Arabidopsis thaliana: one gene and its partner. The protein of the gene in region 1 interacts with the protein of each later gene in a pairwise test. Each region holds a gene or a part of one and is shown on either strand. Other genes may lie near its edges.

Evidence for each region.
Region 2: the proteins of AT2G37000 (region 1) and PRR5 interact in a two-hybrid assay, tested with the Arabidopsis thaliana proteins (one study listed by BioGRID).

Annotation. Positions count from the first base shown.
Region 1 is NC_003071.7:15,538,720-15,554,390, forward strand, and holds AT2G37000 (TCP family transcription factor), read left to right. Parts: upstream 1-1,526; 5' UTR 1,527-1,670; coding exon 1,671-2,237; 3' UTR 2,238-2,529; downstream 2,530-15,671. Other genes in the region: SIGF (RNApolymerase sigma-subunit F), read right to left, coding at 50-305, 400-585, 678-775, 882-1,036, 1,210-1,297; NAP12 (non-intrinsic ABC protein 12), read left to right, coding at 3,001-3,230, 3,310-3,386, 3,464-3,739, 3,846-3,909, 3,990-4,136, 4,243-4,277, 4,368-4,441, 4,518-5,365 and 6 more; AT2G37020 (Translin family protein), read left to right, coding at 7,792-8,188, 8,423-8,519, 8,596-8,711, 9,417-9,461, 9,597-9,622, 9,741-9,876, 9,961-10,073; TRFL8 (TRF-like 8), read left to right, coding at 11,323-11,391, 11,488-11,674, 11,770-11,822, 11,906-11,996, 12,078-12,360, 12,450-12,540, 12,620-12,850, 12,931-12,987 and 1 more; AT2G37030 (SAUR-like auxin-responsive protein family), read left to right, coding at 15,013-15,387.
Region 2 is NC_003076.8:8,346,946-8,365,070, reverse strand, and holds PRR5 (two-component response regulator-like protein), read left to right. Parts: upstream 1-6,524; coding exon 6,525-6,750; intron 6,751-7,005; coding exon 7,006-7,167; intron 7,168-7,246; coding exon 7,247-7,377; intron 7,378-7,532; coding exon 7,533-7,987; intron 7,988-8,080; coding exon 8,081-8,690; intron 8,691-8,774; coding exon 8,775-8,867; downstream 8,868-18,125. Other genes in the region: AT5G24480 (Beta-galactosidase related protein), read left to right, coding at 35-519, 673-1,240; AT5G24460 (RING-H2 zinc finger protein), read right to left, coding at 9,354-10,256; AT5G24450 (Transcription factor IIIC, subunit 5), read right to left, coding at 11,941-12,116, 12,249-12,288, 12,389-12,480, 12,831-13,032, 13,240-13,378, 13,764-13,832, 14,184-14,282, 14,355-14,526 and 6 more; CID13 (CTC-interacting domain 13), read left to right, coding at 17,295-17,627, 17,908-18,015, 18,110-18,125. UniProt on the Arabidopsis thaliana protein: Transcriptional repressor of CCA1 and LHY, thereby controlling photoperiodic flowering response. Involved in the positive and negative feedback loops of the circadian clock. With RVE8, forms a negative feedback loop of the circadian clock.

The DNA of each region.
Region 1 (15,671 bases):
CAGGGACAAGAAGGAAGTCCAAGGACACATGAATAAGGAAAGCATGAACCTGTATATGTGATATCAGCTCAGCTTCTTCTTTAGCAGTCAGAAGTTGTTTTGTCTCAGGTCCCCACAAGAAGAGCTGAAGCGCATCATCATTATCAGCCCCTTGTTTATACTTTTTCTTCGCACTAGTTTTCTGAGGAACATAACCCTCATCGTCCACATCGTTTGATTTTGGAGCCCGTCTGTTCTTTGCTCGTCTCTCTAGCTGCCGCTTCGATCTTACTATGTTTCCCTTTTCCGGTAAGGACATAGAAGAGCTAAAACCAAACATCCAGAAATACAAATCTTTTCACATTACAGCCCACAAGTAGCAGATTGATAAGATACACAAACAAGGTTAAAAAAAGCAACCTAGTGGAGAGAGAATCCTTGATGTTGTCAGATGGATTTGCTTCAGTGTCATCAACTAACAATGCAGCTTGTTTTGAAGCTGATAAAGCCTTCTGAGCTAGTGCAACCACATCACAAAGCTCTGCATCAGCTAAAGGAGACACAACTGCCGGCAATTTCGTTTCAGATGTTAAAGGAGATATTAATCTGCAAACAAAAGAAAGGCTACATCATTCAGAAAACTCAAAAGGTTGTATGAAAACTGAAACTGGTGGGTTTAAGAGAGGAAGAGACATTACAAATTCCATAAACCAGTAGAGTGAAGAAGTTGCTGTTCAAATTTCTCATCTTCTCGAGATGAAACCAATTCATCAAACTGCCTCCTCTCCAGAGTCAACTAAAAATGCAAGGAACCCAATCGCATTAAACAAGAGGACTAGAAAGTTGACAACTTTATGATTGATTCAATCTCTTAGGACAATATTGCTGCTAATAAAACACACCTGGGATGTTCTATCGTCTCTTAACGCATGTGACAGAGGCCTAGACTCTTCCCGTGGCTCCTGTGAGAGAACCGACGCAGGAAAATGTCGAGATAGAGAATTGAGATGACGTGAGTTAACAACAGGAGTTGTTGTTTGATCATGAAGCATCACTACTACAGAAATACCAACAAACGAACAAAAACAAATCAGAAAATGCTAACACAAACTCGTATACATACACTAATTTCAAATTGAAATCCATGAACTTCAAATTCCAGTAACTAACAGAGACAAATCCAGCAAAGACACAATATTTCTATATGAAGAGTAGCTGAATAAGAAGTACCAGAGGAAGGAGAAGAGTAGCTGCTCTTGAGATGAGTCTTTGTCTGAAACGAAGGAGATGAAGAAACCAAGTTCCTCGTAGCTTCCATTTCACAGAATCACCAAAGAATAAAAGACTCTGTTTTTGCTTCCACGAATGGCTAAGGAAGAAGAAGAATAAGAACATGAGGCTACTCTACAGAGCCATGACGAACAGATAAGGCGACACACACACTCCCAATTTTTTTTTTGTAAAAATTAAAACTTGTTTGTTGCCATGGAAGTCAGATTTTGTTCTCTCTCCCTTTTTTTTTTTCCTACAGAGTGGATCATGTTGGGCCTTATATTGGGCTTAAAAGCCCAAATTATCCAAAAGTTAATTCGAATCATCTTCTTCTCCCTCCTTTAGTAACCCTAAGATTCTCTCTGTGAATCCTTGTTCATCGTCACTGAAATTAGTTTACAAAATCGACGAATTCGGAGATGATTTTTCAGAATGTGTGCAGAAATGAGTCCAACTTCAACGCTATAGCTTCCGAATCGCGTTCCCAAACGCAGTTCGGTGTTTCGAAATCCTCCTCGAGCGGCGGCGGATGTATCTCCGCCAGGACTAAAGACCGTCACACGAAGGTTAACGGACGAAGCCGTCGAGTTACGATGCCGGCTCTCGCCGCCGCTAGGATTTTCCAGTTAACGCGTGAGCTCGGTCACAAAACTGAAGGAGAAACCATCGAATGGCTTCTTAGTCAAGCTGAACCGTCGATTATTGCCGCCACTGGCTACGGGACTAAGCTCATTTCGAATTGGGTTGATGTTGCGGCGGACGATTCCTCGTCGTCGTCGTCGATGACGTCGCCGCAAACGCAAACGCAAACGCCACAATCGCCGAGTTGTAGGTTGGATCTTTGTCAGCCAATCGGAATTCAGTATCCGGTGAATGGTTACAGTCATATGCCGTTCACAGCGATGCTTTTAGAGCCGATGACCACGACGGCGGAATCTGAGGTTGAGATCGCGGAGGAGGAGGAACGTAGACGCCGTCACCATTAGTAAAATTAGGCTTTTGATTTAGAGTGTTAAAATTAGGATTTTAAAAGTTTAGGAGGTAACAGATAAGGATAATTTAGTCAAATCATGTTGTTTAGTTTGGTAATGTTATTTTGCCACTAAACAACTAATAATATTGTTTGATAATCTTATTATTTGGTTTTGGAAACAAATTGATTAAAAAATAATGCCATATGTTTATAATGTTTATATTGTTTTTCTCACTATTGATTTGTGATTTTTTAGTAATGCTTGAAATCATTAAGCAACACTATTTAAATAAACAAAAATTTCTCATGAAATCCAAAGAATCATCATTTGTCATGCTCCTCCAATATAGTTATTTCTATTTTTGGAAATAAGTTATAATTAAGAAACCAATCATTTTTCTCACCCATTTTTTTTTTCATTTGCTAGAAATCTGGACCTCCTTCCATGATGACCCTTCTCAACTCTCTTCTTTCACGCAAGTCTCTCATTTTTCAACTTTCCAACTTTTGATCTCAACGTCAACATTTCAAGATTTTCTAAAAGAGAACAAAAAAAATCTACAACAAGCTCGTTAGCTTTCTTTTAATCCTTCATCTCCATTTTTCAAGAATATACTCATTGGTTTTCTCAAGACATGATAGAAAAACACAAGACATCTCTACGGATATTTCTATTGGTAGCTTCCAATGTATCTATTCTATTGTTAGGTCAGAGGGTTCAGATATTTCGATTCGGAAGGTTCTGATTTTAAGGCAAGACTTTTGATATAAGAACAATGAGAGTTAGGGTTGATGTTTGTTGGACACAACACATCTTCTTGTTCTTTGTTTTTGGCTTGAGTTTTATGTCATTTGCACTATCTCTGGATGGAGATGATTACAGCAAAACAGGGAACCCAAAAGCTCTTGTTTCGGTTACAAACCTTATCTATACTCGACTTCAGAATCTAAAGACTGTTTTAAAGGCTGACGTTGATCGAGATTTAGGTTATTGCATCAAGAATTTGTAAGTCTTTTCAAAATCAGCTAATGTAGTCCCATGTTTGAATTTTACATTTTTCTCATATCGTTTGTTGATAATTCAGGAAGGGCGATTGGAATGAAGCATTTAATTTTGATAAAAATCTGGACTTCTTAAGCAATTGTGTCAAGAAAAATGATGGTAAACAACATAAAAAGGGTTATGTTTTTATATTCAAATACTTGAACATTGAGATTTAATGGTCTTGTGATATGCAGGTGACCTCACACTTAGACTATGTTCAGCTGCGGAGATAAAGTTCTACTTTAGTAGTTTTGTTAGAAGAGATGAAGCAACAACGGTTCATGTAAAGCCTAACATCAACTGCAATTTAGCTAAATGGGTTTCCGGATGTGAGCCTGGATGGAGTTGCAATGCAGATGATGAAAAAAGATTTGATCTCAACAATGGAAAAATTCTTCCATCTAGAACTCGTAAATGTCAACCTTGTTGTGAGGGTTTCTTTTGTCCACAAGGTCTTGCTTGCATGATACGTAAGATATCCATTTACATACATATATGTTATATCAACATTATAAGTACTAAAACTTTAATCTAACATATTCATTGTTGTTTATTCTCTGATTTATGTAAACGAAGCGTGTCCGTTAGGCGCATATTGCCCGCTTGCCAAGCTTAATAAAACAACAGGATTTTGTGAGCCGTAAGTTGTTAGCTTTCTAGATTGAGTAAGTTAATGAAAAATCTTATTAGTGGATGATTTAAAGAGTTTTTACATTGCAGATATAACTACCAAATTCCTCCGGGAAAGTTGAATCATACATGTGGTTCTGCAGATAGTTGGGTTGATGCTGAGAGTAGTGGTGATATGTTTTGTTCACCAGGTTCATATTGCCCAACAACGATTCGAAAAGTCACTTGTAGTAGTGGGTATTGATTCTTTTATCTCACAACTCTTGTTACTTTTTGAAAATTTGTTTCATATATGAAATATTCATCATTAAGGATGTAATTAATGTTTTTATGTATTACTTAGACATTACTGCAGACAAGGTTCTACGTCACAGAAACGTAAGTTTCTAAAACACTAAAACCTAAGAAAATGAATTGTTTTATAATATCATTATCATTCATTAATTCTCTTTTTGGTGACCGTTTTAGCATGTTTTAAGCTCGCAACATGCAATCCGAATACCGCAAACCAAAATATTCATGCCTATGGAGCGATCTTAATTGTAAGTTGTTAGTTAATTAGAATACATTTTGCTTTAAAATTTGTTGGAAATTATATTTTCGTTATTGTATATATAGGCATCACTAAGTCTTCTCATGATCATGGTTTATAACTGTTCTGATCAAGTTCTCGCCACTCGAGAAAAAAGACAAGCAAAGTCGAGAGAAGCTGCAGCGAGACATGCAAAAGAAACAACACAAGCTCGAGAAAGGTGGAAAACCGCAAAAGGTGTTGCCAAGAACCAAAAGATGGGATTGTCTGCACAACTATCTCAAACATTTTCTCGCATGAAATCTGCTAGAAAGGATGCCACACCAGTTAAAGCATCGGGAAAGTCAAAAGACAAGAAAAAAGAACCGAGTAATTTAACCAAGATGATGAAATCAATGGAGGAGAACCCGAGTAACAACGAAGGATTCAATGTAGGAACCGGTAGTAAACCTGGGAAGAAGCCACAAGCTCCAAAGGGTAAACAACTACATACCCAAAGCCAGATTTTTAAGTATGCATATGGTCAGATTGAGAAGGAGAAAGCTATGGAACAAAACAACAAGAACTTGACATTCTCGGGAGTTATTTCAATGGCTACTGACACTGAGATGAGGACTAGACCTGTTATAGAAGTCGCGTTTAAGGATCTAACTCTTACATTGAAGGGTAAACATAAGCATATATTGAGATCTGTCACCGGAAAGATCATGCCAGGTCGTGTTTCTGCGGTCATGGGTCCATCAGGAGCTGGAAAAACTACATTTCTTTCTGCCTTGGCAGGAAAAGCAACTGGATGTACGAGGACGGGTCTAATCCTTATAAATGGTAGAAATGACTCTATAAACTCGTATAAGAAGATCACTGGATTTGTGCCACAAGATGATGTTGTGCATGGCAATCTTACCGTCGAAGAGAACCTTCGATTTAGCGCAAGATGCAGGTAAATTTATTCTCATATCATAGAGGAGATTGAGAGTCCAATTCTTAAAAAAATACATTTTTATTACATAGTGTTTATGCTTCAAAAAAATGTTGCATATCATTTATTTATATATGTTTCTTTACATGCAGATTAAGTGCTTATATGTCAAAAGCAGACAAAGTTTTGATCATTGAAAGAGTGATTGAAAGCTTAGGATTACAACATGTAAGAGACTCGTTGGTTGGTACGATAGAAAAAAGAGGAATCTCTGGAGGACAAAGAAAACGTGTGAACGTTGGTGTTGAAATGGTCATGGAACCTTCTCTATTGATATTAGATGAACCCACTACAGGTTTAGATAGTGCATCTTCACAATTACTTCTTAGAGCACTTCGACGTGAAGCACTTGAAGGTGTTAACATTTGTATGGTCGTCCATCAACCCAGGTATGTTATCTCCTCCATGAATTATGTTACAATTTTATGTTAAGAAATACTTTTTGCTTAATAATTGGTTTTTTCCTCTTATTAGTTATACAATGTACAAAATGTTCGATGACATGATAATACTAGCAAAAGGTGGTCTTACCGTGTACCATGGATCAGTCAAAAAAATAGAAGAATATTTTGCTGATATCGGAATCACGGTTCCCGATCGTGTCAATCCTCCTGATCATTATATAGATATTCTTGAAGGCATTGTGAAACCAGATGGTGATATAACTATAGAACAACTTCCTGTGAGATGGATGCTGCACAATGGTTACCCTGTGCCTCACGATATGTTGAAATTTTGTGATGGACTTCCTTCCTCGTCAACTGGATCAGCTCAAGAGGATTCCACTCATAATTCTTTTAGTAATGATCTATGGCAAGATGTGAAAACTAATGTGGAGATTACAAAAGATCAGTTACAACACAATTACTCGAATTCTCATGACAATTCTAATCGAGTAACTCCTACCGTAGGTCGACAATATAGATATTTTGTTGGAAGGTATGATTTTTCTAGATTTGATAGATGGAATTTTGTGGTTAATTTCATATGTACATTAAAACTTTAGTCTATCTATTTCAGGGTTGGAAAACAACGGCTTAGAGAAGCAAGACTACAAGCGTTAGATTTCCTAATATTATTAGTTGCGGGAGCTTGTTTAGGAACTCTTGCGAAGGTGAACGACGAGACAATCGATACACTTGGCTACACATACACCATAATAGCTGTCTGTAAGTTTCTTACGTACACAAATATTAATTTACATTTACTAGTATTCGCGATTTTTGGAACGTTAACTAAGCTCTTTTCTGTATGTCTTTCTTTTTTTGTAGCTCTTTTGTGTAAGATCTCGGCATTGAGATCATTCTCTGTAGATAAATTACAATATTGGAGAGAAAGTGCCGCTGGAATTAGCAGTTTGGCACATTTTATGGCTAAAGACACAATGGACCATTTAAACACAATTATGAAACCTTTAGTGTACTTGTCCATGTTCTACTTCTTCAACAACCCGAGATCTAGTTTCGAAGACAACTACATTGTACTAGTATGCTTGGTCTACTGTGTAACAGGCATGGCTTACATTTTTGCCATATTGTACAGTCCTAGCGCCGCACAATTGGTTTGTCCTCACTTTCTCATAATTCATATATGAAGGAACCAAAATTTTCACTAACCATATGGTACCTGAATTTGCTGTTATGTTCTTGCAGTTGTCGGTGTTAGTCCCCGTTGTTATGACTCTTATCGCTAATCAAGATAAAGAAAGCATGGTCCTTAAGTATCTCGGAAGCTTTTGCTACCCCAAATGGACTCTCGAAGCCTTTGTCCTTTCCAATGCTCAAAGGTAGAAAGTTTGAAGATTTAATTCTTCTAACACATAATCAAATCTTAATTCAGAAAATTTGATTTTGGACTCTTTTTTTTGGGTTAGGTACTCTGGAGTGTGGGTGGTGACTAGATGCAGTTCATTGTCTCAAAACGGATATGATCTTAGTGATTGGATATTGTGTCTCATTGTTCTCGTTCTCATGGGACTAATATGCCGATTCATAGCTTATTTCTGCATGGTTACATTCCAGAAGAAATAATCTAATAATTACACATGATTAAAAAGCTTACATTTTGTAAAATTCTTCTATTTTTCATACGTTAAATATTAAATGAGTTATATAAGTAGTTTATAGAATTAGAGAAGAAGGGATTTTAGAATTCCAATTTTGTAATTTTTATTTGTAGATAATGGTGATTATTCATCATGCTTTTTCTTTCTTTATATGGTAACCGGTTTTGGTAAGATAGAGTCATACAGAGAATGATATACAAAGAAATCGGTTTATTTTCAGTTACGATTCTTTGGTTTATATGATCCGGTTTAATTGGTTACTAAGATGATGTCGGAAAGAGAATAGGGAAGCGGCGTAACTAAAAAACACGACACGATGATGAATTCGGCGTTTCGAAACGTTCACATCACTGCGTCTCGTTTGATAAACCCTAAGCCCTTTTCTTCTTCGATTCTCCATTTTCTTCCTCTCTGTTCCGGCGACGCTTCTCCTCGCCGTTCCAATCCTCTCCGGCATAGAAACTCGGTGTCTCCTTCATCTTCCTTTCCCTTCTGTTCGACTTCTTCCTTTTCTTCTTTCTACATTCCTATGGCGGGAGGAGATGGTCAGGTGTCTCATTCGCTTGAGAAGCAGTTCGAGAGTTTCCGTGTTCAATTGGAAGAATCTGCAGCTTTGAGAGAGCAGATTCGTGCTGTGGTTATGGAGATTGAGTCTGCTACTAGGCTTATTCAAGCTAATCTTCTTCTCGTTCATCAATCGCGTCCTATTCCTGGTAAATGATTAGTCTTTAGGTTAAAAATTGCATCTTTTAGCTAAATGTTTGAAATGGCTTGATGGGTTCAGAACTTGGTGATGAAGTTCTCTATGAAGGGAAGTAACTAAAAATGAAGAACTTGTTGAGAAAAGAATGAATATTGAATTACACATAGCCTTTGTTCTTTTAAGAAATTCATTGGAAGTGTTTGGTTGTTACTAATATAGATTGCTCGTTTTGTTGATGGATCAGAGGTTATCGAGAAAGCTAAGGAAAAAATCGTTGATTTGAAGCAGTATTATGGTCGGCTTGCTGAAATTCTTGAGGAGTGTCCTGGACAATACTATAGGTAAGTTTGAAAGCTATGTGTAGTTAGATTTTCTTTATTTGCAATGGTTTTTTGTTAAAAGGTTTTTGTAATGTAGGTACCATGGAGACTGGAGAAGTGAAACACAGGCAGTGGTCTCCCAGCTTGCTTTTATGCACTGGCTAGAAACTGGAACTCTTCTCGTGCATACCGAAGCTGAAGAAAAACTTGGGTGTATGTCTCTGGATCTCAATTTACTATTTTCCTTACTTCCAAATACTGAAATACATATCATGGCCTAGTGGTTGCACTATAAATAAAACCTTATTTTGTTTTGCTAGTTCTCTCACAAACTTTTGTATAGAAACTTCCTTCCCACAATAGGTAACAACTGAGCTGGCAGTAGGCAATCAATTTGAAATCCGTTCATGACTCCAACATACTATACGTGTTATCCTGTGACCCTCCTTTTGCCTGACCTGTCTCAGTTGGAAAAACTAAATGAACGAGTTTTCTACTTTTCTCAATAATCAGATTCAGTTTGCCACTAGTCTTCTTCTCTTATCAGTATGTTAATTAGTCTACCTTTTCTTGCTCGTTGTTATTGATTTTGTCCTTAGGCTTTGTTTCAGTCTGCATTTTATCCACTGTAGTGTCAACCATTTAGCTAAGATTTGATTTTTTCACCTCAATAGAGTTATTAGTTGCCGTTTCCCATGAACTCAGTTATTCTCCCTTAGGATGGATGGATGATAATTGGAAGGTTGGTTTTTCATTACGTTGGTGTAGAATAGATATTTGCCCAAGTGTCGTTTTGTTTCAAATCTGGGTTTTGTTATCTTGTCAAATCAATTGTCTTTGAGTAAAATAAACAGAACAAGGTGTTGGTCAATTCATCTGCCATTATGGCTCTTCTAATTCCACTTCATTGTACTTCAGTGAACAGTTTGGAGTTTGGATTGGAGACAGAAGATTATCTCACTGGTAAGTTTCTGAGAAAGAACCCATATTTGCTCTGGAAGGCCAATATCTATAGATCAAATATGCCTTACGAGCATTTTATGAATCGCAACATTGCTTTTATATTCTCTGATCTTCAGCTTTTTGAATACTTTGCAGGAATTTGTTTCATGTCAAACGATTTGGTAAGATCATTTTTATCCCTAAATCTTACTTTCCATCTTCCCCCTTAGCATCCTACTTGATAGCAACTTATGAAAAACCTTTGGATAAATGCAAATGGGTGATGCAATGTTTGAGCAGCCTAGGTACGTGGTTAATCGAGTGACAGCAGGAGACTATGACTGCCCAAGAAAGGTGATGAATTTCCTGACAGATCTTCATGCAGCCTTTCGCATGCTCAATCTCAGGAACGATTTCCTGCGCAAGAAATTCGACAGTAAGTCATACATATCTCTAACTGCTCTTCTTTCTCCATTTGCGATGGTTACATAAAAAAAAAATCGATTTTGACATGTGACAGGTATGAAGTACGACCTAAGAAGAGTGGAAGAAGTTTACTATGATGTCAAGATCCGAGGTTTGATTTCCGGCGGAGATCCTCCTGGCGTCCAAGCAGTCCAAGGCCAATCCTAAATGTCCTCGGCTCTTTTTAAGTTTTTATGTATAACTTTGTTTAGCTAGCATGAAAACGTCAAGGAGTGTTCTTCTCTAAACCAAAAACGGCAAGGAAAATAGAGAGACTGTAGTTTTTAGGTGTAGTTTGCAATTACTGAAAACGGCAAGTATTCCTTTTGTGGGCCTTGAAAGCCCACATTTTAGTCACAACTTTACTGTTATCCGAAGTCAGCAGCTTAATAGTATAACAGTAGATGTTCATGAACTCCACCTGTCCATCGTTGCGGACTTGAAACGCACGTTATATTTGACGGTGTCTTACGTCATTTTGGATTTCAAAACTAAATAAATCAGCTTTTGGAATCCGAAACAAAGACAAAAAAACAAAATCCAAGTCTAACAGTCGCCATTTCCCCTCCTGCGTCAGTGTTCTTCGTCTCCTCTCGTCGTCTCTCTTTGGTATCTTTTTTCTTAGCTTCGAGTACTATTCTTTTCGCTGACATTGTGTTAGATTCTCTCTTGAACTTGAACGATCTCTTTTCCAACACAAATGTAATGTATGATATCGTTCGATTTTTTCTCGGATTGTTAGTTTCTTCAAATTGCAGGTGTTTAGTTAAAGGAAGGGGATAAGCTAAGCAGCTGGATTTTCTTTTCTTTTCTTTTTTTTCTTCCCTGGAAAGTTATATTTTTATTATTATTTTCTAATGTAACAGCTGTGAGTCGTCTCTATGGCCCACATTATACGTATATTTCTTTTATGTTTTTTTTTTTTTTTCTATATTGCATTTGCATTTTGAATGTTGTGATAAACATTTAAAACATTGACGCTTCTGTAGCTGCTGAGAGTTTTGATTTTTCTTTATTTGTGTTTATCTATTCTGTCAATGAGACTGAGATCATCCGACAGAAATTTGTCTGGCTACTCTGTTTCTTTATACTGTAATTGCATAGAATGTCTGTCCTCTGTTCTTAAGTAAATCTTATATTACTTATTTATATATTTTCACTAGATTTGAGGCAAATTAATGTTTTTTAATTTGGAGAGAACATGTTTCATGTTGTGAATTTGTTTATTAGTGCTTAAAAAACATGGATGAATCTAATGGATTGGGATAACATGCATATATAGAGAGAAATGAGATCTAGTTTCGTGAATGTAGCATGTAAGTTAGATTGGTTTATGGGCAACATTGTCCGGTTCTGTTCAATTATTGTGACATATACTTGGTTCTTTGCAGTGTAAAAACTTGGACCTTGACTTGAAATGGGACCTTTTGGGATGGAAACAACACCCGGTTTTCCTGATACTTTTGCTGGATTCAAATCTGCCAGTGTGAGAACATCTTCTTCTTCATCACTTGTGTGTTTCTTGGTTTTCTACATTTGGATGATGAATTTATTACATGACTTTTATATATTTTCTTTATAGGTTGATGAGAATCTTGGCCATTCAATGGAGGATAAAATGAGTGACATGAAGCATTTCCTAATGGATCCTCATCATGATAATACCGCGGTGGACAGTTTCTTAGGTCTTGGTATGGAGAATATGGGCTTAACCTCCAAGATGGAGGAGTTTTCACATGGATTTGACGTTAGCTTTCTCCCAGATTATGGTAAGTCGATTCAAATGCTCTTTATGCTGAATGGCTTTGTAACATTGTAAATGGGAGTATGGTTAATGTTAGAGTTCTCTTTCATTTTTTCTAAGGTGGAGTTAACACTTTTAGCACTCAAGATGTGGAAGCAGGTTTAAAGTTTGAAGTATGTGTTCTCTTTATGCACTCCTTTACATGGTTTTTTTTTCTTGGTCATTCGTGAAATAAAGTTTCTTCGTCATCTCGTAGATTCTTGATGGAATTCTGGATGGAGTTGATGAAGTGGAAGATATCTACGCATCACATGAGCTTTCTTCTATTGTTAACCATTTCCCTCCAGGTAAAATTTTTGTGATTCTATCATCCTGGTGCAACTGAGCAATCTATACGGTTCACAATCCATTCAATCATTTACTTGCAGAAACTGAAGTCAAGAAGAATGAATTAGAGGGTGACCCCTATGGTCTTATGAACTTCAGTTCAGAATCTTATTCTCCTGGAATTAGTGGAAGCATCGGACTCGCGGAGTGGTCAAAAGAAACTGTTCCATATGCTGAATCCCAGATTGTATCCAGCGAAAAAGTTAAAGATAGTTGGGATACAAATGAGTCAGAAGATGACAAGAAACCACTATCCACATTTATAGGCTCTTGGATTAAACGAAAGAATCGGAAACAGAAATTGCTCAACACCGCTTGTAGTAGGTAATCATCGGTGACTAAAGTCTTATTCTGAATATATAATCCCACTGGCTTCAGATTTCCTAGTGAAGCTCTCTTGTATAATGTTACAGATTAGATTCTTCTCGTGAAAGAAAGTCTTGCGAGTCCTATGACTTCAGGCCCCGGAAAGGACCTATGAAGAAATACATTCACACTTCAATGGTTTGTCTTACTCTCTAAGACTATAGAGTTTTCCCATTTTTTATAATCTATGTAAACCAAATACCATCTGCTATTGCAGGAGAAAACATTTTCTGATGATCAGCTTACTTTATCTGAGAGTGAAGATGACATTTCTGTAACAAAGACATCCAGAACCAAAAGTGACAGGAGAAAGAATCAGAGGATATGGACTCTTGATGAAGTAATGAATTTGGTTGATGGTATTTCTCACTTTGGTGTTGGGAAATGGACCGATATAAAGAACCACTTCTTTCATTATGCAGCACACCGCAAACCCGTTGATATCAGAGTATTTCATCATTCATTCACCTCAAAAGCAAGCTCTTCATTTAGTAGTGATTGGTGACTCAGTTCTTCTCCTCAATGCAGGACAAATGGCGTAATCTACTGAAAGCAAGTTATAACGAAAAGCATAACGATGGACAGGTTTGCTTTTTTCTCTTCCTTTGTCAACAAAAATTCATATTCTGAGAAATCCTCTGTAACACAAAGTTTGAGATGTTCAGGCTGAAGAAAAACGAAAGTCAGTGGCTCGCTCTATACCGAAGGATATTCTACATCGTGTAAGAGAACTTGCTTCACTCCATCCATATCCCTTCTCCAAATCACCGTGTATTGTTCATGATTCCTCAAGAAGCCGAAGCACTTCAAAGAACAAGAAGAAGAAGAGTGGATGATATTGATAGTCTTCATGGAGAAAGTCTAGAGAAGCTATATAGATACTTGAATCGTTTTAACTGTGTTGGGAAGTTGTTCCATGTGAAGTTTCTGTTAATGAAACCGAGAATGACTTCAATTCAGAAAAGCATTTAGCTTATTCCCTCTATATAAGCTCCATCCTCCAATGCAATTAAACTAACAAACTGCAGCAACACAACCACTAGAGGCTTTTTGTCTGAAAATTCATGGTCTCTGCCACCTGTTATACTGCAAATGTTTCAAATCTCAAAAACCAGAACCAAAACCAAAGAATTGTAGTAAATTACAACTGCAAAAACAGAGGGGAAATTGGTTTGTTTCTCACACGTGAGCAAAAACATCGAAAATATTATAGATCAAATCACTTTATCAATAAATTTTACAATTTTATCAAAAAAAAATACAATTATCGACATACACATAATAGAACATTATTAAAAGGTTTAGTTTAGTTTTAGGATGCAAATAATACAAAACATTAAAATTAAAGCACAAACATGAAACAAATGTCCAGACTCTGAGAAGTCAATTTCTACATAAACTATGGCCAAGATAAGATGATGATTAATTTTTTTTCTTTTTTTTCCATGAAAGAGAAATGTATATAGAGATAACATTGCATCATAAGAGTGTTTGCACATGCACGCAATAAATTCTAAAGTCAGAAGAAGCCAGCTTAGTTCAGAATGGCAGTCGTTGTTAATTAACTTAGACAGACCAAAACCAACTTCAAAACACACACACAACACAAACATAACAGGTAGATAGATCTGAGAGAGACATTTTTCGAAGAAGAGAATTGTTGTAAGAATGAGGATCTCTTACTCTATTGAAGGGAACATCTTTTGTGAATCCTTAGGGGGATGAACCCTAATCAATGATACTCGGTTTTACTCTTATAATGGACCCTCCAATATTGACACTTCTCCATCTATGTACCCTTCCTAGAGACAATAACCCTTTCACCATCCCTATCTCAATCTTGTGAACCGCATTCTTCCCCGCCTTCTTTAACTGAACTATCACTATACGCTTTTGATCGGTAAAAAGTTAAATACAAACTCACCTGTAAAAGTTAAGCTACCTAACTATACTGCAAATGCTGATCATTGCATGGTTCTACATTAGACCATGTGTAGATAGTTCAAGAAGTCACCTGAGCTAGAGCCTTGAGCTGTTTAAAAACCAACATAACTCTAGGAAAAGTCAAGAGATCTGGATTTCTGCAGATCAAACTGAAAGTACCCATGCATGAATCATTAACCAAGTCATCACTATCTCCAAGAAGATTTAGACCCATCCCTGGACCCTGTTCCTTTCAGATCTTATCTCCTCTCTATCTCTGTTCATCTTGTCTTGTGGGGTCTTAATCCCCCCCGTGAACTTGAAGAACTCTGACACCAAATGTGAGCTAGGGAAAAAAAGAGATCATTTTTTTAATCACATCTAACCATAGAGACGTATGTTCGTACAGTTTCAGTATTTCAACTCTATCAACAAAAGTAACAGAACCGCACGGTTGTATAAAGTACTGTATCATTTAAAAGTTGCCCATCTCACCCTCTTTGGCTAACTGTCATGTCCCAACATTTATTAAGGAACTCTGATATTTCTACTTCTGCGTATATATATAGACTTGTCCTTCACTGTGTACTATTCATTCACAAACATATTCCTCTATCAAAAAAAGTTCAAAACATTCTATCCATCTATCTACCTTATATTAGATATTAATCTTCTCCTCCTACTAAAATGAAGAGCAAGTTCATTAAGTCCTGTGAAAAGAAACTGAAAAAGATGACGAGCAAAGTCATAATACCTTGTGCGTCTTGCGAGTCATGCTACGAGAGAATTTGCTGGGCATTCAAGAAGGAAGCTGAGGTGATTCCAAGAGATGTCCCTAAGGGACATTTGGTTGTCTATGTGGGTGAAGAGTACAAGAGGTTTGTGATAAATATCAACCTGCTTAAACACCCACTCTTCCAAGCATTGCTGGATCAAGCACAGGATGCTTACGGTTTCAGTGCTGACTCCAGACTATGGATTCCATGCAATGAGAGTACTTTCCTCGATGTTGTCCGTTGCGCTGGTGCACCCCAGCATCAGAATAACTGCATATGTATCTAGGAAGGTTCTTGTACAGGGAATTCAAGACATTCATTGATTTATCCGGCTCCACGTTTACAAAAAGAATGTTGTTTAATGCTAAGCTATCGGGGTACACTAATAATAATATAAGACTTTTTGTATTAAATGTGTCTTTCAATTCAGCCGGAAATGTATTACTACTAGCTACAAGGAAAGCAATAAAATACGAGTAAAGTTATGTATCACACTTCTCCAGCTCTAAAGAAATACATGAAGCCACTAAAGCCAGAGCTAGTTACTGACTAAAAGAGACTAAAACATGA
Region 2 (18,125 bases), on another chromosome or scaffold:
TCACACATTTTGTTACCTCTTTCTCTTTTTATTTATGCTTTGGCTCTTCTCTCAATCATCCCGACCACATTTTCAATCGATTCATTTTTTCGACTGCTCATTGACCAGTGACAGAGGGCAGAGGAGTTGGCCGGCGACCCTTCCTTCTCCTCAGCCTTTGTCTGCATCGACCTTTTTGAAGTGTTCTCCAACAGAACAACCCCATCTCTTCCGATCTAAATCCGATCCGATCTCATCCATCACCACCCTTACCTCCGATCTCTTTTATGTGTGTACCTCGTCGTTGATGATCTCAGTCCCAACGACATCGCTTAGCTTTCATCGGAGGTCCTATCTGTCACCACAGATCCGTCGTACCATCACCGTCCTCTGTTCAACGGAAGCCTTGCTACGGTTTCTCTTAATGGGCCACTCATGTTTGAGCCCATTAACCAATTCTAGGCCTATCCCCAAAAGCAATGACCCATCTCCTTTAATGACTTGGCCCGGCCCCTCCAAAGCGTTTCCGCAAAATCATAGGTTTGATTCAACTTGATGTTTGCCTTCTTTTAGTTTGCATTTGTGTCGATTCATGATACCAATTGCTAATGGACATCGATTGAGTCTTAATCACACATTGCTGCTAGGTTGGTACAAAAATCTCTTGAGAACCTTGTCTTTAGAATCACATAGGTGTCTTATTCATGTTGCTAAATGTTTGAAGATGATCGACATTATGATCCCGTCTCTAAGGAGCGATGATTACCGAAGCTTCTTTAAGTGTTCATCTCCGATTCATTTGCTTATTGACTTCATCCTTGAGATAATTAGCTACACCTTGGGCACTACTCTTGAAAGTAAAAGTTTGATGAAGAATGGCATTATGATCCCGTCTCCAAGGAACGGTGGTTACCAAATCTTCTCTAATCATTTTTACCCGTTAATCCTAAACCTAGAGCCCCAAACCAAACCCGAAAAAACCTTTACCTCCCATGAGTCTCCACCATTGGTCCTTACGTCCTTATTGCGCTTCGTGCCGGCAAGCCATGTGGCAAAGGACACATTTTCAAAGTCAAAAGATCAAGTTTTCTTGATCGTGACTACACCAAAGCTCCCTGACTTGGTCGCGAAAGTGTCTATGATACATCATGAGGTCATATGTGGCTTGTTGTTTGATTGCTTCTGTCTCTGTTCCTCTATGGATTATAAAAGCTATCGACCTTTTCTTGTTGTTAATTCTAGTTCTCTGAAGTTGTTGTAACCTTTTTATACTCGAAAATTTTGTAACCTTTGCTCTTAGGGGATAAAATGAATGAAATGCAAAAGGCTTGTTTGACAAAAAGAAAATTCATAAGTGATATCGCAACAAGATATCGACCAAAATCTTCATTACACGTCATAAGCATGCACCAAGTGATGTCAAGGATAAAAATCTAAACAATGATTCATGAAAGGTTATACGGTTTTTAAAAAAATTAGTATTGTATTTTGATTTTTGAGCTCGATTACATATTAAGATTTTGTTTTCCGTCAATAATAGTGAGAATATATGTGGACAATGCTTTTCTTACTAATTCAATTTGGTCATTACTTTATTTTGTGTTTTGTTTTCTTCTCAACATAGTTTATTTTATATGCGTGTGATTTAGTCATTAATTAGCTAACATAATAATTGATTATGCTAACTACAGTATAACCTCTATAAATTAATATTTAATAAATTAATAATCTGTATAAATTAATAAAAAATTTCGGTCCCGAGTTGGTACCAGTGTAAAAAATAACACAAATCGATAAATTAATAAGATTATACTTATTTTAAAAATTCTATGTAAATATATGGTCCCATTAATAACATAAATTAATAATTGAAAAAAAAATTTTAAAATATATATATGTTATATGTTAGAAAAATTAGTAAATTATGAATTTGCTATTATTTTTATTTTTATTATACTAATTCTTGGCAATGTTCAATTTTAATATTTTTACTACATCGAAAACACTTTTTTGTTATTTGATAGACACAATAAGTTATTCTTATTTACAATTACTTTTAGAAAAATAATGATTATAAATAAAACAAAATTATTTCAAACTCAATATTTTTTTAAAATTATAAAATTAGTCTAAACTCTCTATAAATTAATACTTCTATAAATTAATAGAAATTCATGGTCCCAACATTATTAATTTTAGTGATTTGTTTAATCTTTAATCAAAATTATAAGTAAGAAACAAAATATGTGTCAAATATACTAATTACAGTAAAACTAAAACCTCTCTAAATTAATAATATTGGGAGATTAATATTTAAAGTGAAAATTTTAAATTTTGTTATTGTAAGGCATTTCACAATAAGATTTTTAAAATACACTAGTTTAGACAATATAAATCATGTAATAGTAATATTTTGGATACTATCAATCTTGCATCGGTTTAGAAAAATAATATTCACAATAGATGATAACAAATTGAAATTGATTGTACAAAATTTGTTTTATATGATATGCACTGTATTTTAATGATTTTTGTTGTAAAAATGACATTTATTAATTTGTAATAATGATTAATAATCTCAATCATCGTAAACAAATAGATAGAAAAAAGCTATTGCATGTTGGGATCTTGAATAAGCTTAGGAATCACGGGTTTTGTGGACAATTAGAGATCCATGTGTTGTTGGCTATTGTAAACTAACCATGAAATTCATTCAAATCATCCATTCCAAAGAGTTTTGTTTTTTACTTAGTGACATTCCTATTTGTTTTTGGGTTAATCTAGTAATAATTAGACATTCCTATTTGTTTTTTACTTACTGATTCTTTTTTCCTTCTAATAATATGTTTTAAATTTGGCATTAGTATTTATTATAGTACGACTTGTCTCGTAGAAACTAAGCATTTTCCAATTACATATTCTTTTTTAGATCCTTCGTTAGCATATGCAGAGCTGATCTTCGACACATCTGGACACAGCAGGATAAAACATTTGCTGTGACCTCCATTTTTTTCAGCAAAGCTTATTTACAAAGCATCCTTTATTTTACTCATTTTCCAATAATTGCCCCAAATTTTTTAACCTTCTAACTTAACCTTAAATTTTCTTTTTTTGAGTTTTGACCCACAAAATGTCAGGGCTGGCCCTGAACATATGTATCAAGGTTTCTTCTAACTTGTAGTCGCCTACTGCTACATACAAGGAACATTAGGGCTATTAGGAAATAACAAATCTAAGGTATATCTTTATTGATCAAATCTACTATAGTTTTGGTTTTTATAGATAAAAATAATTTATTAATTTAAGATTTTGTCACGCATCATTTTTATAAAGATATCTTTTCAAAAATATCTATCTAATATTACTAACCCATTATATTACTATTACATATCAGTGAAAACATTTAACCATAGAAAGACAAAATTCATTTGTGGTCTAGATAGAACAACATGTTGATGACGATTAAATATATTAGATGGAATTGACTCAAAAAAAAAATCATTACCTAAAACATCGGCAAAACATTGTTTTCATGCAACTCAGCAAAATTAATTTGAAGTTTTTTTATCCACCATGATATCAATATCGGCCTATCTCAAGATTTACATATAATCTTTAATTAGATTAACGGATTGGTTAGATTATCTAACGTAGATAATGTTTGATTGTATGGATGTTTTGAAGACCATTAATGCCAACTAGCTTAAGTTTTTTGGGAAAATGGATAAGCCATTAGCCTTTTTGTTTGTTTGTTCATAGAGCAGACCATTAGCCATTTATGATATTATAAGATGGAAATATCTCAAGTGGCCTAAAAATGAAGAAAAACATCATACACATACTGTAAAGAACAAAAAAAAAAGGAAATATCAAAGTTGGCCACACAAAAAGAGAGGCCATGGAAATATCACACAGACAAAAAATATCTGTTTGAAAAAAGATGGAGCATGTTCAGTGTAAGTTAGGCCAAAATATCTTTAGATTTTATTCCTCAAGCCAAAAGTCATTGATCCACTACACTTCAACACCGGTGCGTAGAGCATCATCCAACCAATTAATCAAACATTTTCTTTTTCTTATATATCGTTGAGTTATTAGTCAATTGTGGTTATTACGCTCGTCTGTATATCATAGGTTCGAGTTCAAGTAATTTAAAGTTTGGGCGACAAAACAAAAATAGTAAAAAATTTGTTTCAAAGTATCATGTTGTGTAGTTGAATTTTAATTTTGCCCCACATATTATCTTTTTGATTAATAAAATAAATATACTTTCAAATAGTTGTAATTTATCAAATAAGTATTGATCATAGAACAGTGATTACTTTTAAAAACAGTTGCTAATGTTTTAAAAATGTAATTCTTTCTCGAATTTCGTACTTTCTATTACATATTATAAAAAAATAACTTATTATTTAGATACCACAGTAAAGTTGTTATCCGTAAAAATTATTTGACATTATATATCGTTATCATCATTATACAAATTTTTTTTGATAATTCAGATGATTTTAATGGTTTTTTATGTCCAAAGAGTAATCTTCAAGCCCGAAAAAACTATGTTAAAATTCGAACTTCGGTGACCAATATTACTGAAATCCAAATGACGAATAATTATTTTCTGGTTTATTATTGGACGAATGCGACTTAATTATTTTGTCTATTTTATATCATTTCTATTAGCAACATCATAATAAAATTTCTAATATATGCTGTCAATTATGTGACCAGCAACAATATAGTAAAACAATGTTAATTAAACCCATCTAACAACAATAAAAATTTGTCACTGACATAGTTTTCCTATATAGCACTTATTTTTCTTTTGTCAATAAAACACGCCGGCCTAAACCTATTTCTCAGTTTAACGCATGAAGTGCTAGTACAAGGAACTAAACCACCTGGCTTATTATTAACCATTTTCTTCATTTGTTTGATTGATCATTACACTAATTGTCCTTTTTTATTACCTAGTAGTTTACTAAGTTTGATTAAGAGAAGAAAACCATAGGGTCCAGTCAATAAAAAAGAAAGTCATAGCGTAGGACAAGACTCTTGTTACAAGAGAGCGAGTAGGAGAGATATATTACACTCGCGGGCGCGTAAAGAGACAAGGAAAAAAGAAGATATTTAGTCTCTGACAGTGACAGCTACCATTTAAAGGTGAAAGACTGTGTCAGATAATAACCATACACGTGTCATATTCCTATCCACCAAAGAACCACGAGGTTTTTAAACAAGTGTCTCTAATCTAATCCCACCCAACAACAAAATATCTAGCCGCGGAAAATTACTTTAAAATTCATCACCCTTTGTCCCTACTCTTGACTCGTGCATGTTCCATTTGATTTATTCCACCACGCAACCAAAATAGTAGCAATAGAAAAAACCAAAATGTTGATAAAAATTTGGTAAACTATGAATCTCTATGATCGATATTCATTTGTTTGATTGTTCCATTTCTTTTCTAATGCAAATCAATATTAAAGTGTTCTTATTTCGTGACTAAAATATATGGCTGGCCGAAAAAATATAAAATAATATATGACATTTGCTATTAGTTAGCACCAGTGATCATTTGGTGTAAGCAAATGTTTTTTGTGCCAAAAAATAATATTGAAATATATGTATAATTAATTCATTAACAAAAAGTTCTTATTTGTTATTTCAGAAAATAAATTATACCATGTGTCCTTGATTTTCTTATGTGAAAAAAAATTGAAATATCCTTATTGTTTTTAAAATAAACAAATTGCAAACCTATGTACCAAACAGAAAATAATACAATTGTTTTTGGATAAATTTGTATAGATACTTTTTCCCACTAGCATTAGATATTTTTTGGGTTTGGTATTATCCCAAAAGTCACGAGTGGGATTTTTATAGGTACTCAAAAGCTAAAATGTCTGAACAATAATATAAAATACATTTTAAAATAAAAGTAAAATTTAGAAGCATCAAATAAGTAATAGTTTCAATGTTTAGTGTTGATCTCTTATTAAAAGAAAAATAAACAAGAAATTCACTAAATATTTCTCCATCACAAATACATAAACATCAATTGCAATAAATATTTTGGTAAAGTATAATAAAAAATTAAATCCAACTTTAAATATGAACCACATAGAAAAACCAAAGGCTAGCCACCACACCAATTTTTTCTTAAAAGAAGGTTATTTGGCGTATTGGATCTCTTTTGTCTCGTATACAGTATTTTGCTGATGTGGCAAACGTGGCCACGTCAGCCAATTCTACTAGATATTTTTTCAAATCCAAATACTCTTTCCACAACCGTTAGATCATGGTCGGTTCGCCACCCACTTTCAATCATAACCGTTAAAACATTCGCTAGATTTTTTCTAGATATTTTCTTTTCTCCACACTATTATAGAAAGAATAAAGTTCTTTTTTTTGCTCTCTTCTCATTTATCTCTCCACTCACAAATATTTTGATTTGTTTTGTAACTGTTTCTCTTTCTCTGGAGCTTTCTTCTTCTTCTTCAATAATCGATTTAGGTTTTTCAAAGCTAAGTGTTTGTGTTGTGATAATGACTAGTAGCGAGGAAGTAGTTGAAGTGACGGTGGTTAAAGCACCTGAAGCTGGCGGAGGAAAGTTATCACGTCGGAAGATTCGGAAGAAAGACGCCGGTGTTGATGGTTTGGTGAAGTGGGAGAGATTTCTCCCGAAAATCGCGCTTAGAGTTTTGCTCGTTGAAGCTGATGATTCTACTAGACAGATTATCGCTGCTCTTCTCAGGAAATGTAGTTACAGAGGTTAGTTTCTGGTTTCAATGCTTGAGATTTAGGTTTTGTTTGTATAGAATCTGAGAATTATGAATTCGATTGAGATGCTAATGTTTTGAATCTGATTCGCGTGCGGCTAAATGTTACAATTCAAAGTCAAATTTAGAAAAGTCAACGATTTTTTTGTCGGTTTTGTGTTCATATAGAAATCTTTATCAACGCTTAGTTTCTACAACAAGCTAAAAGGATTTGTATTAATGTGGTTTGGTTTTGTGTATTGATCAGTTGCTGCAGTACCTGATGGCTTAAAAGCTTGGGAGATGCTAAAAGGAAAGCCTGAAAGTGTTGATTTGATATTAACAGAGGTTGATCTACCTTCAATATCTGGATATGCTCTGCTAACACTTATCATGGAGCATGATATTTGCAAGAACATTCCTGTTATAAGTACGTTGATATATACATCTTTTTCTTCCATCGTTTTGAAATGATTTTTTGGCTCATTATGTATTGTTTTTTTTTCCAGTGATGTCGACACAGGACTCGGTGAATACTGTGTATAAGTGTATGTTGAAAGGTGCGGCTGATTATCTTGTTAAGCCGTTGAGGAGGAATGAGCTTAGAAATCTTTGGCAGCATGTCTGGAGAAGACAAACTGTATGTTTCATATCCATCTTTTGTTTTAAGCTTTATGTGTGATGAATTATCTCTACAACTTAAACCCGTTCTTATATAAGTTCTGGGAAATTTCGTTGTCTTGAAAAGATGATTGAGTTCTCAGATTTGTTTTTGGTTTTGATTATCTTTTACAGTCACTTGCTCCTGATAGCTTTCCATGGAATGAGAGTGTTGGACAGCAGAAAGCCGAGGGTGCGTCTGCAAACAACTCGAACGGAAAGAGAGACGATCATGTTGTGAGTGGGAATGGTGGTGATGCCCAGAGCTCGTGTACAAGACCAGAGATGGAAGGTGAGAGCGCAGACGTGGAGGTTAGTGCGAGAGACGCAGTACAGATGGAGTGCGCAAAGTCTCAGTTTAATGAGACACGGCTTCTAGCAAATGAGTTGCAGAGTAAGCAAGCAGAAGCCATTGACTTCATGGGAGCATCGTTTAGAAGAACTGGACGACGTAACAGAGAAGAAAGTGTTGCTCAATACGAATCTCGGATAGAGCTTGATCTTTCTCTGAGAAGACCTAATGCTTCTGAGAACCAATCTTCTGGAGACCGGCCTTCTCTTCATCCTTCTAGTGCCTCAGCTTTCACACGGTGAGTTGTCTAATTTCTCAATTCTTCTTTCTATTAATCGTTCAATAGTTGTCGTTCTTTCTGCTGATTGTGTGTGTTATGTTCTTGTTGCAGGTACGTTCACAGGCCGTTGCAGACACAATGTTCAGCCTCCCCAGTGGTTACTGATCAAAGAAAGAATGTTGCAGCAAGTCAAGATGATAACATTGTGCTAATGAACCAATACAATACATCTGAACCGCCTCCAAATGCTCCAAGAAGAAACGACACCAGCTTTTACACTGGAGCTGACTCACCTGGTCCACCGTTTAGTAATCAGCTGAATTCTTGGCCGGGACAGAGTTCATACCCTACGCCAACCCCTATCAACAATATACAGTTCAGAGATCCCAACACAGCTTATACATCTGCAATGGCTCCTGCTTCACTCTCCCCAAGCCCTAGTTCCGTTAGCCCGCATGAGTACAGTTCCATGTTTCACCCATTCAACAGTAAACCCGAGGGGTTACAAGACCGGGATTGTTCCATGGATGTAGATGAGAGGAGATACGTCTCTTCTGCAACCGAACATAGTGCAATAGGCAATCACATTGATCAGCTTATTGAGAAGAAGAACGAAGATGGCTATTCATTATCCGTCGGGAAAATTCAGCAATCTCTTCAACGAGAAGCCGCTTTAACCAAATTCCGAATGAAGCGAAAGGACAGATGTTATGAGAAAAAGGTAAAAACTTAACTTCGATGGTTCCATCACATAGATGAACTCATAACGTAATGATACTAAAGGAACCTTTGAATGACTTAACAGGTTCGTTACGAGAGCCGGAAGAAATTAGCAGAGCAACGACCACGAATCAAAGGCCAATTCGTTCGTCAAGTCCAATCCACACAAGCTCCATAGTGATCCAACAAATTGATATATTATATACAGTTCAATTTTGTATCATCAACTAGAGGAATTTTGTTTTCTCCGATGCAGGAGCTGTTCTTTGTACAACTAATTCCACATACGTTAGATTTGGTGACACATTTGTGTGTACATACACATCTTTCGAGCTTGTTGTTGAGTTTTAGTTAGAATCTACGTTAGATCTGTAACTACATACATTTGGATTACGTTTCTGTAACTTGCAAGACGAATTAGAAAGATTGACAAAATCTCAGCTAAACAAATTTCAGCACAAAACAATGAACTCGAAGAAGATAAGCTATAGTGAGATCAAAACTTCTGGAGAATAGTATCCACTAACACAAAAATAGCCAAACGAAGAAGATGATTATGAACATATATAAATGTGTATATGTATCTCTACATGGCTCTCTGATTATTCATGTATCAAAAGCAAGATTGATAAAATTTGTGAAAAGCTTTGTTTTGAGATTTTTTTTAAGATCGAATCGAATCAGGACTAACCCATTTCCAGTAATGTCGTTTCACAGTTACAGCATTCCCAGCGGCGAGTGTTTCAACCGAATCTTTCGTCGAGTCTCCTCCCTCGTACTCTTTTTCCTCCGTACAGAAATCTTGCTCCGGTAATCCCTCCACCGTTGCATTCACAGAGTGAAGAGCGTAACGCGCCGGTAATCCTGGATACGATAGCGAGTTCCTTTCTTCAACTCTTCTGTTATAAGTTCCGGGAAGAATCTTAATTCTCTGTCCAATGTTATCACCATCGCCATTGAAGATAGATCCGAGCTCTTCTTTTATGGCGCGAAAAACTGCTTCGTCGGGAGATTCTTCAGGCTTCATTTTCTCTGATAAAGGACGAAATCTTTCACGAATACTCCCATCGGATAATTCCTGATGAGCTTCCACTAGGATTCGTCCGTTTTTTCCGATTACTCGAACGGTGACGACGTTGACGGTGCGTACTGGAGGAGTTGAATCGGCGAGAGAAGTTTCGCCGTCGGAGAGTTCTAGCCAGAGGTTATGAACGTTTTTGGTTCCCGGTTTGACTCCCCAAGCGGCGAATGAATCGGAAGGTAATCGCGATTCGAGCCAATCGGAGAGAGATTGAGGATTAGCGAAGCGTTGAGTAGGAGGAGGAGGAGGAGGAGATCGGCGAGACATGGCGGTGATGGATCGACGGCGAGGATTTAGAGGGAAAGAGAATCTGTTCGGAGGAAGAGAGACTAGAGGTTTAGGAGATGACCAGAGGAAAAGGAGAGAGACCGCCGCGAGGAAAATATCAGGTAAAGCGGAGGTGACGGTTGCGTTACGAGGCCGGTGGTTGTTGATGTTACGGCGGTTAACGAGTGGTGTGTGCGGCGGAGATGGGCCAACGAACATGTCAATTGACCAAAATACCCCTAACGATCGAAACCAACTCTCTATCGTGGCTCATACTCGTACCGAAGAAGATTCAGAGAGGCCTATTAATAAATAAATAAGACCAGAGAAATAAATATGAGGAAGAGATTGTGACGACGATTATTCGCATATCTAATCTTTAATAACTAGATTCTCTTTAATTGCACAATGGATCTTATCTTTTTATAATTTAACTTTTTACCCTTTAGTTTTATTTTTTACTAGATTCTCTTTAATTTGCACAATGAATCTCACGTTTGAAATTACAATTAACCGTTACCTAATCCTACTATATTATTTGGAAAGTATATTTTATATATAACCTTAACTTTTATAATTAATTACATAACAATGCCATTAGAAAAATTTAATCAAAAACAAAATCCTTTTATGACGTCATTAAGGTTACCAAAATCATTTAACGACAATATTCATCTCTTAATTATAGGGCTTATTGGATCTAAAGACGGGTCATCAAAGATTTCCTAATCTGAAGCAAAATATACTGAATATTCAAATATCTATCTGTTACCAAATTATAAACAAATAAGTTCGTAAAATAATTTCATATTTTATATACGAAATCAATTAAATCTTAATTACATAAAAATTAGCAAAAAAAAAAGTATTCAACAATTAAAAATTTATCAAATCTCTGTGTTACATAAATTTTGATACTATATTCGAATAAAGTGTAATATACCTTTTCAATTTGTATTCTTTAACTAATTTAAGCTAACTAATATATTTGCTAATCTTATACCTATCAAAACTAACTATCGTTTCTTATCTCTATAGTATTTTTGCAAGACCTTTTTGGTGGATTTGGGTAAAAGTGCATTCGGGTCATATGATACATTTCCCTATTAAATAAATATGGTGCACTCCTATGTTATTAGCTAAAATGTTTAGATTATAATTTAGAGTCATATCATAAATAAAATTAATATTAATAAAATAAATGGCTTTTTGGCAAGACGAATTTGGAGAGACGGGTTTTTGAATCAACATTAATAAAAAATTAAAATATAATTAATTAACCGTTTCAATACGGATTAAATCTTTAATTTATTATTTTTTTAAGACCACTAATACTAAACATATCAAATCATCATAATTTAAAAAAAGATTATATAAAACCAAAAATGATATGTTTGTATGTATAATGTTACTATATATAAAATTAAACTATAAAATATACATGTATTAAATGTATTAAACAATGATACAATTTGCAAAATTTATATATATAATTAATAATTCTAAAATTTTAAAAATTACTACTTTAAAAAAAAATCACGGGATGGGTGAAGAAATTACAAAACGGGTTTTATTTTGGAATTGGGTTATATGGTGGATGTATTTGAATCAATATTTATAAAATTTGAAAATATTGTTAATATGTTGTTTTAATAAGGGTTAAAACTTCAATTTTTTTAACAATTGTCTCATGGATTCGTGGTATAGCGTTACTTAATAACAATTATAAATTGCAAAATATAAATATTTTATAAAAATAAAATTTGCAAGTTTTAATTTATATTACTTTTAAAAAATAAATCGTCCCGCGGTATACGGGGGTTAAAATCTAGTCTCTTTACATTTAGCTACACACACCGAGTTTCGTATTTACAATGTAAATACACGTTATATTCAAACTTCTTCACTCATCATCCTCCTCGTCATCGTCGAGAGCGTTGGATTCTTGCTCGTAAATCGGATACTCTCCATCGCTATCATTATCATCATTGGCACTACCATACAAAGCTGATGCGCTGCTTGGAAACCTATTGAACAAACCTTGCAGATAGGTTCTGGAGTTGTTCTCCATGTCACCATCTTATCATTGTTTAAGAAAAACTTTAAACCAAACCAGATCAAGCTCTAAATTCTCTCCTAATCCCCTAGAATCTGCATGTACTAATGACTAATTGGTGCTTATGTTATGAAAGTTTATGCTTTGAAGGATACATCCATGAGAACTTATTGATATGTCATCATCATTTGCAGCCTGCAACACAACACATTAGATTAACAGAGAAACGATGAACAAGCCTTTCGGGAAAACTAATGGGTGAAGTAAACAAGAAGTAGTTTGTAAGCATGGTTACCTCCTCGTATTCATCATCCAAGTCTTCAGAATCCTCATCCGCATTAACATCATCATCTTTCTCCTTGTTTGTGTTTTTACACTTTTTCATATCTGCGGATAATTTTACACCAACAACTGTTAATCCATACTTCTTTTAAGGAGAATGTGTTTGATGACAAATGATAATAAGCAGAGCATGAGATGTATGACAATATAAAATGCCTGCCTCATTCGATTTTGGCTGGCACATGTGATTGTGCACCCTTATATATTTACTTACAAATTCGTCGTACAATATGTCCAACAAATTAACTCCAGTCAAGTTCACCATGCTTTAACACAATTTTGAGACCATTGAGATTTGAAAAAGAAGCACTTGGCTCCATGCATGTCAACAATCACTAACTAGGCTGCCTAACATGTAAAGATGAAAAGAACTGAAATTGCTTTGTCTATCTTACCTTTAGTTGTTTCCTGGTGATTCCGTTGACTTGGTTGCAGTGCATCTTTCTGAATACGTGTCTTTTCAGACCTCTCAAACTCTTCTTGAATAGATTTAAAAACGTCTTCGAAACCTGGCTCAGGAAACACAGATACAAACCTCACAGCTACACGGAGTCTCAAATTGTCAAGCAGCGCTTCAGAGAACCATCCTGTTTTATACTAGCAACAAAAACAAATCAGTACAGATAACCAAGACCTCACATAAAACAATTTTCCACTCAATATATCATTTGTGTGTGATTGATGACGCAGTGTTTTGGTAGTGGTATTTTTTGCAAGTGCATGTATAGGTTTGATCTGTAATAAGCAAGACTCTAATTTTTTTGGAATCTACTTCATTAACAAAAGCTTTAGCTGATAACTCACATTACAAGTAGTCTGCTTGGGAGGCTTTCTTATCTCTTGTTGAATGTACTCATCGTCAAGTTCAAATAACTGTAGAAATGTTTGGCATTTGAAAGGAAATACTTTAAACGCACAAATGTCATCCCAGCTTGGCTTTGACCTGTCACAAATAAGAAAGAAAGAAAACATCACCTTTATAATTGGACCGTTTCTTCAAACATATATCCAATGTTTTATTTGCAATTTCTCCATGTAAATTCATATATATGTTCCCTGAGAAACTATCTTGAAACTGTTAAAAGAGAACATTTAGGTTGCTATCCTCGGAAAGTGACTGAAAATCGGAAAATGACACGTTTCTAGAGAATTCAGACACACTTCGCATTGTTTTAAAAATTATAATGTTCTCATACAATTGACCACAAATCAATACTTGCAAAGAAAATGTTATCATGATATATGTTTATCTGTCCATATATATTACAAATTGAGAATCTTGAGTAGAAAAATATCTTGAGTTTACAAGGAAAAATGGAAAATCTTACTTGTTAGTTGCATTGGAATCACAATAACCCTTTAATTCAGGTGGAACCCTGAATTCCATTCTCTGGAATCTGAAAAAAACAAAATATAAAAAAGGTTAGAGGTGAAGAGGTTTGACATACAGCTGCAGTCTGGATGCAGGAAAATATGAACTACAGAAGAAAATTTCATGTCAAGCAAGTTTCCAAAACCCGGATAATGTCAGCACCAACACTTTCTGCATTGGAAGATAAATACGCTCTCAAATGAGCCAAGTAGAATATGTATCATTCTCGAAACACTTTGCAGAAGACGAGGAAGTTCAGAGGTGTAAAACCGGCCTATTTCTGTTCTATTTTGAGGTGTACAAATGACAATTCTACATTACCGTGTCATAGACCATGCATTTGTAATATGAATAAACTTAAAGAGATAGAACTCACACACGAGATTCAGGATCTTTCCGTGGATCATAGCCTCTTTTAATCCAGAACCTAAGAAATGGACCACCCGAGAAATAATATGCAGCCCTAAGAAGAAACCTGCAGAGAAAACTCCAGAAAGTTGGTTATTGCAGTAATAATACACATAAGAAATGCATAAAATTTGTTCACCTGTTTAACATATGATGTGTGCATGTAAGACCTTTATCGAGTAGTCGTTGGACTATGGAATCTCTTGTCCACACAGGTCGCTCTTCAAACAATGCAGACACTGCTACCTGCCATTTCCATTGGTTGGAGGTGGGAACGATATAGTCTTCCCATTTTAATATCTTTGGGATCTGTATGAATGCTAAGGACTGATCAAAGATATCCAAAATGACAAAAATCATCAAACAAACATGGCTTCATACTCAGCAATAATAAGATTTGGAAGATTAGTAAAACGGAGAAAAGGATATCTTTGACACTAAAATCAATTGCAAATACTGGGCCAATATCTATCTGCATCATCAGTAGATCAATTAGCAAATGGAGAAGTAACAACCACAAGTAAACTGTCATGGAATCTTTAACTATCAATATAAATAAACAGAACAGCAGTTCCCTCAATGTTTTAAAAGTGTGAACTGCGAGCTTTTACATGCTTCAGAATCATTAACTCTGCAACTACAGGCTTTAGAAAAAACATTTGCAAACTACCGACATTCCTGTAAGAAAACCTAAGCAGAATCCACCTCTTTCAAGTCTCAAACCTTACCGTTACAGACTTGCAGTAATTAAGAATTCCATTTTACTAGTTACAGAAAAAGAAAAAAGCTTGCCATATCAGTAGATTATATGTTTGAGTCAATTTTTTCCAACAGTCTGATTTAAGTTTATCCAGAAACGTCAAATGGTTTCATTTCTTGTTTTTACCTCATAAAGATTCTGAGTTAGTTCCTCATCTTTCTTTTTTGGGCTTGATGTTACTGGAAGTCTCAGCCTGTGAATCAAACAACGAAAGTAGAATTAACAATAGAACTTCTAAAATTATAATCAACTATGTTCTCCTTCATTCTTAGTTATAGGTTGTTTTGTAGGGGAAAAATAAGAAAGTTTAATCTTACACCAGGTTGTCTGGCCTATCTTTGGGTGAAAAGAACTGTGGCAATAACATCATTACATCTTCATCAGCCATGTCCATTAGATCATTTTTTCCTGCATGATACTCGAGAGGATTCATTTTAATTTATGTTATTACAGCTAAAGATTTGCAATATAATGAAAACCAAATGAATGGAGACAAACACCTGCAAGCGACTTCACCTCCATCCATTTTCTCTTCTTCTGCTGTGCAATATCAGCGTGAATAGGAATTACATGCTGGTAGTCGACCATGCCTTCGCAATACCCACATGAATAAGTATCATTTTAAGCCAAGGCTCACTGTATAAGACAAGACCCCAGAAATTGGAGAGAAATATTCTTACCATCAAAGCAATACGATTCAGACACACGAGCTACAATATCAGCACATAGAGCTGGGCGCACTTCTGGTAAGCATGCATCGCTAGTGGAAATAACAGGTTGACTTTCAGGCAGAGAATCTTTCTTAACATCCTCCTTCGAAATTTTTAACAGAAAACCATTACAATGACGTCGTTCTCCATAGGCAGGATGTGCAGAAGGGTCTTCAGGGCGGAAATGCAGCTCAAGCTTGTTTGACGTTGATTCTCTTGCCTACGAAAAAAAAACTTTCAAAGTGATTAAACCGTCCAACCCTTGTGTACAAGTTTGCTACTAATCAAGTTTATGTTTTACTTGTCGAACATTTTAGAAATGTGACCAATTTGCTAAATCATGGAATGCATCAAGCAAAAGAAACCCAAACAACGCTACAAAAGAGCTATATGGATAATCAGCATACAAATCAGGGATTCCTAGTAATAACTAGCAGGCAAAGAAACAAGAGTCTTAGGAAAAGGCTTTACGGTTGTGATTCCTTGGATTCCCCCGAGAGTCTCCACGGCTCGGGAAATAGATGATGGATAGCCAGGATAGTGAACCACAAACGCCTCCTTGCTAGGCAAGTTACCCGAGATAGTTCCGTTTTCAATGATTCCCATTGTTTCTTTCCAAGTTGAAACTTGCTGTGATACAAGAATCAAAAGAGATAAGTTATTACCTAAAGTGGTAGACTTTTATTCCTCTCATAAATCAGAAAATGTAACACGAACAAGATTGAAAGATTTTCACTGGGACTATCCAAAATCCCAGTGAATACAATAACATAGCAAACAATTTGTCTAGAGCTGATTCCGGTAGAGAAAGAAAACACTGAGCAAATCGCACCAGAAGCAAATTGAAACACGAAACCTTTTAGATAGTTAGAAGGTATTGAAGACTATAAGCTTAAACAAGTTCGAAACCATGGAAGAGAGAACGATGCAAGTATAATGGGAAGACTCTAGTCAATACGATCCAAATACGCAGAGGTGTTAGAGAGAGAGAACGATAGTATACCAGAAGTAGCTGTTAGGGATCGGAATAGATCTCAAATTAAAGTCAGACCAGACGGCGGTCCGGAGCGCTGGAAGAACATACGGCGGTGGGAGAAGAGCCACCGAAGCTTTTGCACGGAAACTATTTCCTGTTCTAAATGGCGAAATGCTAACGTTGTCGTTTTCAGAATATCGGATCGAATTGGGGTCAAATTCTGAGAGACACTTGGCCGACCGGTATTGAATTGATTAACCGGTTCGATTTTTTTTTTCTCTCTTACCAAAACTAGATAAATAAGATAGAGATAATTAAAAAAATAAACAGAATCCTATTAATGTAATAATAACTTTATATGTAGTAAGAAAAAAATGCAGAAATTGTGCTGACACAAAGAAAATTTAAATAATTATAATTTATTGTATTTGCTTATTTTCTTGACTAATGTCAAAAAAAAATGAAATAAAAATCTTGACTAGAAAATCTAATTGTTTTAGCTATAAAGAGCATAATAATTTTTCCTCTATTTTAATCATCTCCTTAAATCCTCTAACCTTTCTCCAGTGCATGAGTTGTTTTTTTATATTTTATTACCAACATCTAAAGATTCATTGATCTTTTGGTTTGATCATGGCTGTCGCGGAAAATGTTGGTGTGAAGGTGGACTCTTCTAATAATCAGAATATAGACAACAACACTACTTCATTAGTAGAGACAAAACCATCATGTTCTGATGATCAGACACCTAAATCCAAATCCTCTGTTCTAACAAACGAATTGATCCAAAGAACCAGTGAAGTGAATCTCAAGAGTGAGATAAGTCATTTGAATCCGATGGCTAAGGAATTTGTCCCTTCTTTTCTGGCTCAAACCCACCACTCTGAGTTTTGGGGAAATAGATTCTGGTTTACTAACCATTTTCCAAAGCAAACTATTTTTCTTATTGGCCAGTTTGCTACAATGGTATATATTTCATCTATACTATTTTCTGTGAACTATGTTATGTGTTCATGAAATATCTGCTCTAAATGGTTATGACTCTTTTTGCATATATTTTTCATTTTAGATGTCTTGGTGTTGAGGAATTTAATCAATTTGTTAACATAACACACATTTTTCGCCATTTCGAGGTTTAGATGGTGATAGATTGTCATGTTAGGATCAGCTTTTCAATTTGCTTATTGAAAAATATGATTGTAATTCTTCTTTGTGCTTGCTCTCTAAGTCTTGTCAATTAACACAGAGAAGGAACTTTGGCAAAGGGAGGCCATGGATAACCAAAAAAACAAACTTGGTTCAGAATGAAGATATGATCAAGAGAACTGTATATGTCTCAGACATCGATAACCAAGTACAAAACAGAGAAATATTGTCTCAAGAAAACACGTTTTCATAAAGAATCTAATCATATATACATAACAAAAACCCTCTTGTTCTTTTTGTAGGTTACTGAGGAGCAGC